2 linked regions of the Daphnia pulex genome follow. The protein of the gene in region 2 purifies or fractionates together with the protein of the main gene of each other region. This does not show direct contact. Links are inferred from orthologs where the notes say so. Each region holds a gene or a part of one and is shown on either strand. Other genes may lie near its edges.

Region 1 (3,521 bases), on a different chromosome or scaffold from region 2:
GTTTTTACGTTACTAATTTTACTGAGCTGAGTGTTGATTTGCTTTGTAGGTAACGCGCTCTCAGTTTATATCTGGCTGTTTTTTTCTTTTTTTTTTCTTTTTTTTTTGCAACTCTCGCTCCCACTTCTCTTATGCATATATATTATATTATAGGGAATTTTCCGGGCCTTAATTTCTTCTTTCACAACCAGCTGCTGGCTAGTCGAAGTGTAGAGAGATTGAAGGAGGCGAGAGACAGAGGAAGGTTCTTTGAATGGATATATTGGAAAATAAAATGTTTATTAATCACAGATACACACGCAAACACGTGCCCAACTTAGCCGTCAGACGCTGTTCTTTTCACCTGGAATTGTTTTTAAATATTATTTTCAGGATGACACGTCGGACTGCCATCGATTCAAATCGACAATTGAGTTCTGTATGAGTTTTTTAATCCGCCTCTTTTAATTGTATATCCAGCAGATCAATGGCGTGAAATAATGTGCGAGTAACCTTGTTTCCCAACGCCACTAAAAAGGAATTTCTGTATTGATCATTTCCCCAACTTTCACATTAAGCCTTCTACTGAGTTGTTCCCTGACGACCGCCTCCCTTATTTTTTTTTCTCTTCCCTTCTTTTTTTATAGTGGAAATAATTTGTTTTTCCTTGAATCGATTGAATTTGCAATCCGTGGCGCGCATCAATGTAATTTACTTATATAGTGGTCATATGATGGATTGCCTATATCAATAAATTCATTCATCTAACGCATTTACTTAAGAATTTGTTGATGGAGGCATGGAGCAATAGGAAACGAAATATATATAAGATGTAATTAGAAAATATTCGACGAAAAATGTACTCTGTATTTATAAAAGTATTTATAACAGTTTTTAAGACACTTGAGTGCACACCAATACTAAATATTATTATAGGAAAGAAATGTGACGGGTATAGGATGCTGGATGGACTGTTACAACAAATTTTTGGTAATGCATAGCTTTAATTTTACTTATCAGCAACAATGGAAAGAGCACGTATAGCTTGCATATCTTGACTAAATTGTGCTATTAACTCTGAAGCAGCTGGTTCGCTTTTTGTCGCTTTCGGAGAAGTTCTTTTAGGACTAGTGCCGCTGTGAAGGACTAATGAATTGAATAGTTTCGTGCATTCACCATAGTAATTAGTTTCGGCTCGAATTAATGCTAACAGGGATGGTTCAATGTAATCTGCTCGCAGATCCAACATTGTGTTCATGTCATTCAATAGTTGTTTGTTTGTAGTTTTAAAATCTCCTTCCATAACAGATAAGGAACGTTTAAGCTGCTCTGTCCTTGCAATGTTTGTTCCTGTTCTCTCCTTTTCCTTGAGTTTTTCTAACTGTTTTCTTACAGGAAGGAGATCAGTAATCATTTGATCTCTTTTTTTAATAGCTGTTTGTGCACTTCCAAATTCATTAGCAAGTTTCTTTAAGGGGTCATTCACAGTAACTTGTACAATATCAGAAAATTGTTTGGCAGATTCCCCCATTTGTTTGGAAACTGAGTGGTATTCTTCTGCTAAGACTCTGAAATGTTCCTCTTCATACACTTGGTTACATGATGACAGATCTGAAGTGAGCTTCTGTTCACAACGGGCTAAAGTGGAAAATGACTCTTTCAGGTTCTTGCACTCTTTTTGGACTGTTCGATTGATTTCTTCAAGCCTGTACATGAAAAAAAAATGTATTTTAATACTTGAAATCAACTTAAAAATAAATACTTTTGAAGCCGGAGAAATGCATAATCAATATCTGCTTCTTCGGCAATTGTGCATAGTCCACATGAAGGTGATGGCCTAGCATGAAGCTGACTTCTTTTCATTAGACCCCTACAAAAAATACTTTAAAAATTTGCATTTAATAATAATAAGTTGCAAATAATATACCAATTCATGATTCCAAACCGCACGATCCCACCTGAGTTGTCTTATCTCATGGGACATAAACCAAGACAAAATATATTGCACAACAGAAACAGAACCAACCCAACCGAAAACAACAAGTTGTTGCACTCTGCCATCTATGGGACAGAATTGTAAGATTTTTAATTTTTACAATAAGCAATTAACATCCAGCGTTGCATTTTTCACTCAGCTACCTCCGATAGAAAGGTAGGCTGTGTCCACTTTCCAGGCTGTTTCTGTTTGTAATTTTTGTTACATTATAAACTTAAATATTATAACGTTCAGTAACTCACTAATGGCCGTAAATCCGTAATAACTAATAAGACAGTAATAACAGCACTGCAACAGCGCTTCCCACTTTCCCAGTTCTTTCGGAAGTTCGTCTGCATCACCATTCACCAAACCAGTTGCAAAGTGACCACCTAACAGTGTAGGTGATGACTGAAGGTGTCGCAAAGCTTTAATCACGAATAATTTAATTGTTTGATTGTAGTGAGAATTTGGCAAATGAGTCCGTTAACGAAAAAGTTTGCTTTTTACCTCTCGAATGCTGTGTTACCCACGGATGTCCCGTTACCCTCTAATGTGTTGTCTTCTAGAGCCAATCTCTTACAGCTGGTATGAACAAGGCTATTGAGAAAGACTTTAGCATCTCGAGATTGAGTGTTTTAGTAAAAATAACTTTTTCTGGATATTTTAACGAAATGTCTTAATTTTCTTTTCGGACTCTGGAATTTTTAGGTCACGACCGACGGGCGACGGAATGGACCGATCGGCGCGAATGCAGGTTCATTGCAAAACGCATCTTTGCCAAAAGAACTGACATCCGGGAAGAAATTGGCTTTGGCGATGAAATGCATGCGTTGGGGAAAGAAATACATGATACTACTACCAGTCCCCTATCAAATGAAATATTGCTGCAGTTTGGACTTTTGGTCAAGACAGAATTTGAAAAAACTCTTTATCAAGAGCTATCTACTATCTGAGGCAGGTGACTCCCATGATATAGTTAACAAACAAACCTAAGATGCATAACACTCAACTGTTTTTTTTTTTTTCTTTTTTTAATACATATACTAAGTTACCAACAAACAGTGCACAGTGCAGGAAGAATTCATCACGTGAACGCTATTTCGTGTGCCCTGACACCCAGGATGCTTGTAATCTAAAATTGAGTGAAGATGGTGGACGAGAGTAGCAACGCAGAAGCTGCTCACCTCTGGAAGACGTTGAGCGAAGATGAAGTGGAAGTGAAATGCAGTCAGTTTCATTTCCTCCGCTGCCAAATCAATCTCTCTGCTCAGAGCCTGATTGAAGTGATTGACGAATTTGGTAAATTGGTCCACCCATCAAATTGTGAAGTTCCCCTGATGGATTTAGTCGTAATAATTTTTGAAAAATTGTATTGTTGTTGGCTGAGACACTGAAGATGACATCTAGTGGCCAGGTTTGTCTTCAGTTGTTGGGCGTAGGCTAGCCTTTTAAGCCCTTACCCTTTTCTTGGTTTTTTGTCAGCTGAAGCTTTTGAGAGAAAGAGTCGCCATTTTTATTTGTTAGGGGTTTTGATGTTAGCTTAATTAGCTTGATTGCTATTTGT
Region 2 (3,831 bases):
CATTTGATAGGAAAGGTCTCTACCACGATTTGGAAATATTTCAGGCTATAGATGTTTTTTTGGTATTTCTTCAACACCAATGCAACCTGTCACATGTACTGAGTTTCTTCTTATAATTATTGTAAAACAGAGTATTATAGACTGATTCAACATGAAAAATACCATTATATGTGATAGGAAAGGTCTCCAACAAGATTTTGAAATATTTCTTGCTAGATGTTTGGGACGTTTTTTTTGGTATTTCTTCAACACCAATGCAACCTAACACGTGTAATGAGTTTTCTCTTTTAATTATTGTAAAATAGAGTATTCTTCACTGATTCAACACGAAAAATACTAATATATGTGATAGAAAAGGTCTCTACCACGATTTGGAAATATTTCAGGCTAGATGTTTGGGACGTTTTTTGGTATTTCTTCAACACCAATGCAACCTGTCACATGTAATGAATTTTTACGTCAGGTATTGGATGAAAAAAAAATAGATAAAGGTTACAATAGTTGGGCTAAAACCGAATCAAAAAGACACCGTAATTTTAAATTTTTTTTTGTTTACATTAATAGGAGATTTCAAAACAAGCAGGTTAATTAGTTCTAGAGAGAAACTTGCTCTCGCAGCAGAGATCGGTGGATTTTCAATTTATTTATATCTTTAAAGGCACAACTGGCAGTTTTACACAAGAAAAAAATCGTGCAAATTGGGAAACGAGATATTCGAATACGCTCTATCAAAGTGATAGCGAATTGATGCAATTTTAAATTCGTTATTCTCTTCTCTCCCTTATCAAGACAGCCATTTAAGAACCCCGATTTCAACTTGATGATTAGTTGCTTCCAATTGGTTATTAGTGATTATACTTATTAGAGGGATTAATGAAAAAGTTTTGTTTCAGTTTGGTTAAATATGTAATATGAATTGTTTTTTTTTCTGCGTACGAAGAAGTAAATATACCGGTAAATTACACAGATAAATTTTTCAAAATAAAATGTTATACCAGTTATTTTGAAGTTTCATATAAAATGCGAAATGTAACATTTGAGTTTCATCAAATGAGGAACTACAACGTCTGTGGCCATTTTGTTAGATATGCAGCGGGTGCGTATCCTTGAGCTCCTGAATCGTTTTCTACCAACCACCATTCTGAGTTTTTTTAGAAAAAAAAGTATATTGCCATTTGACTGTTTTCTAGGATAAATAAAAATATTATTTCACCTTCATTTCCACCTTCATCGTGCTTAGCAAGGACAGTGACGAGTTCATTTTCAAGCAAATCAATCTCTAAGATTGTGCTTTTTTGGAATGTAAATTCCACTTTATAAATCTGAAAAATACAATTTATCAGTAGCATTATTATGTGATAAAGCTATGTGCTATCAAAATGATTACGCACATTATTCTCCGTTGAGGATAACTTCTCTTTGCTTTCTCTTGATGGAATGATGTCTTCTATGATAGCGTAAATAGGACTCTCAGCCTTCTCATCAGGAGAGTAATACGCTGCGTTCATCTCTTTAGAATTGGATTCGTCAACTAATAAATCATCTATTTCGCAGTAACGATGGGGAGACTGTGCTTCTTCGTTTCCCAAAGCTTCTTCATACGAAGGAGGTAAATCATATACATTTTCTCCGTTTGTAGAACTTGGTTCTTCTTCTTCATCGAAATAGAGTTTTTCCAATGAGCTAGAATTACAAGAGGTAACACTCACAACACTCGATGCCACCGACGTAGTGGATTCGGGTCTTAAATGAGTCGATGCAGGTGGCGAAAAAAGATTTAGATGTTTAGCAGGTAAGAAACCTCGCACTTCTGACGTTGACGAAACATATAAAGGGATTAACTTATTAGTTAAATAAGAATTTATATATTTCCCTGTAATTATAAATATGATTTTACCTCCGGCATCAACAAACCAGCGGCCAGTATTGCCCATTGGATCTTCTCGTTTGACGACACTGACAATTAGACCGGAATTAGCTGACAAGTCCATTGGATCCCTAATTTCACAACGACCTGTCACCATGTACAATTGCTCGGGTTGATATTTTGAGCGAAGAATATTGACCGTTTCTCGACTTTGAACAACCTGATTCATGACAAATAAATACAAAAGATCGACTAAATATTAATGATTATGGAACCTACAATTCCTTCTCCGGGGCTATGATTGCCTAAAGCAGAAGAAAGCCTATTCCGTACTGGCACAGGATCATTGGGAGAAACAGATCCATCGGTTGACACAACATTGGTGGATGAACGGCGAAAGGATTTATTAATAAAAGTAATTCTAGATAAGCGATCCACGGCTTTGCCGTAGGAAAGTTGGAAATCCTCCTCTATTTCTCCTTGAAGACTGGCGATATCTGAAATCTAAATATAATATCGGTAAGAAATAATAATTTTTGTTGGAGAAAACGACCAAATATTCTAATAGACTTCTATACCTCATTTAAATCTAATAAAGATTTAGTAATCCGTCCAACCAAAAGCTTCCTGGCATATAAAAACGACGAAACGCAGCGTCGGTATATATTATATCCGTGCTCTGTAATGATTGGAAGCTCCTCCATAAGTTGACTATTAAGAGCTAAATGGGTATTTCGAGCTAGGTTTTCTTCTTCCTCCAACTAAATTTCAAATCATCTATTAATAAGTCACATCACTTCATGCATAGATAAACAAAAAGCTCACGGTGCGTCTCATTGCTGGATCTCTATTTCTAGCCAACCGCTCGCTAGCGATGTTTGAATCGAGCAATTTGTCTCGTCTCTTAACAATTAGCCTTTCAGGACCCACGCAGGCGTCGCACAAAGCCGTTAAAGGGTTACGTACATGTTGTATGACGTAAGCGTCCTAAGATGATAAAACATTATTTACTTATATTATTCTAATGATGGCGTAAAAAAACACTTTTGCACTCACAAATGAGTTCCAGTGCTGTGTGTAAATTATACGTTGGGCTGTACGGAAGTTGTCGATCAGTGGGACTCTGTTTGCTTCACCGTAGAAAGAAGCAAAAGCTTCTGATATATTGAACTGTATTTGTGAAGTGCCCTTGAGTTGCTCACATACGGCAGTGATATCTCGCAAAGCCGCCTGGATGACACGAAACAGTTCTCCGAAACGAAGTTCTACTTCCTCGAAAGCTATGTCCTTCGTCTGTAAATAAAAGAAGGGTACTTAACACTAAACAAACAATTATCTGGAAATGGCAGACGATAATTTAGAGGCATTTGAAGAAAACTGACCGTGGGAGCCATGCCAAGTGACGTTTTCAAGAGCATGCCAATTCGAGAAGATTTTTTTGCCACAGAGTGCTTTTCAATGAAACAACGTTATTATAATTCAGTAAAGCTAATTTTTTAATTCTACGGTTTACCATGTTAAAACGAGAGATTCTCGCACTGAGCTTTTCTTCCAATCCAGAATCACGATATTTGAGCACAATTTCTTTTTTGCGCTTGCTTTCGTTGATATGCGAGGCAACATTAGTCATCAGTCCCAAGGCTAATACCAAGTTGCTTTTATCGGGGTGATCATTCTCGGTATGCTGTGTAACAAAAACAAATACTTCAGTCATCTGTGATCAAATTTTTGTCGTAGATAACAGTAGAAAAATAGATCACCTTTATCAGTTCTCCCAATATCAAGGAATATTTCAGTATGCGTTGAACAGGTTTAATAATGACTGAACCCACATTGAAGCAAACTATTTCGTTTCGAAGAGTGGCGATCCCTTCATCCAACACTTTATGGACGCTGGGCAGAGTTTCGTACTGCAGTAAAAAAAAGATTAAGGGGTAAGTTGTTGAGATAAGAAGTTGCGCAAA

Evidence for each region.
Region 1: the proteins of dynamin-binding protein-like (region 2) and bridging integrator 3-like purify together in Homo sapiens (co-immunoprecipitation; 5 studies listed by BioGRID and IntAct, counting the BioPlex papers as one, with this or other methods). This does not show direct contact. The link is inferred for Daphnia pulex from reciprocal best matches to the Homo sapiens genes DNMBP and BIN3.

Annotation. Positions count from the first base shown.
Region 1 is NC_060017.1:5,564,165-5,567,685, reverse strand, and holds bridging integrator 3-like, read right to left. Parts: upstream 2,035-3,521; 5' UTR 1,915-2,034; coding exon 1,907-1,914; intron 1,850-1,906; coding exon 1,742-1,849; intron 1,686-1,741; coding exon 989-1,685; 3' UTR 826-988; downstream 1-825. UniProt on the Homo sapiens protein: Involved in cytokinesis and septation where it has a role in the localization of F-actin.
Region 2 is NC_060018.1:2,573,676-2,577,506, reverse strand, and holds the end of dynamin-binding protein-like, read right to left. Parts: intron 3,778-3,831; coding exon 3,628-3,777; intron 3,552-3,627; coding exon 3,381-3,551; intron 3,319-3,380; coding exon 3,250-3,318; intron 3,161-3,249; coding exon 2,924-3,160; intron 2,855-2,923; coding exon 2,693-2,854; intron 2,629-2,692; coding exon 2,446-2,628; intron 2,372-2,445; coding exon 2,147-2,371; intron 2,088-2,146; coding exon 1,898-2,087; intron 1,811-1,897; coding exon 1,392-1,810; intron 1,323-1,391; coding exon 1,214-1,322; intron 1,142-1,213; coding exon 1,059-1,141; 3' UTR 625-1,058; downstream 1-624. UniProt on the Homo sapiens protein: Plays a critical role as a guanine nucleotide exchange factor (GEF) for CDC42 in several intracellular processes associated with the actin and microtubule cytoskeleton.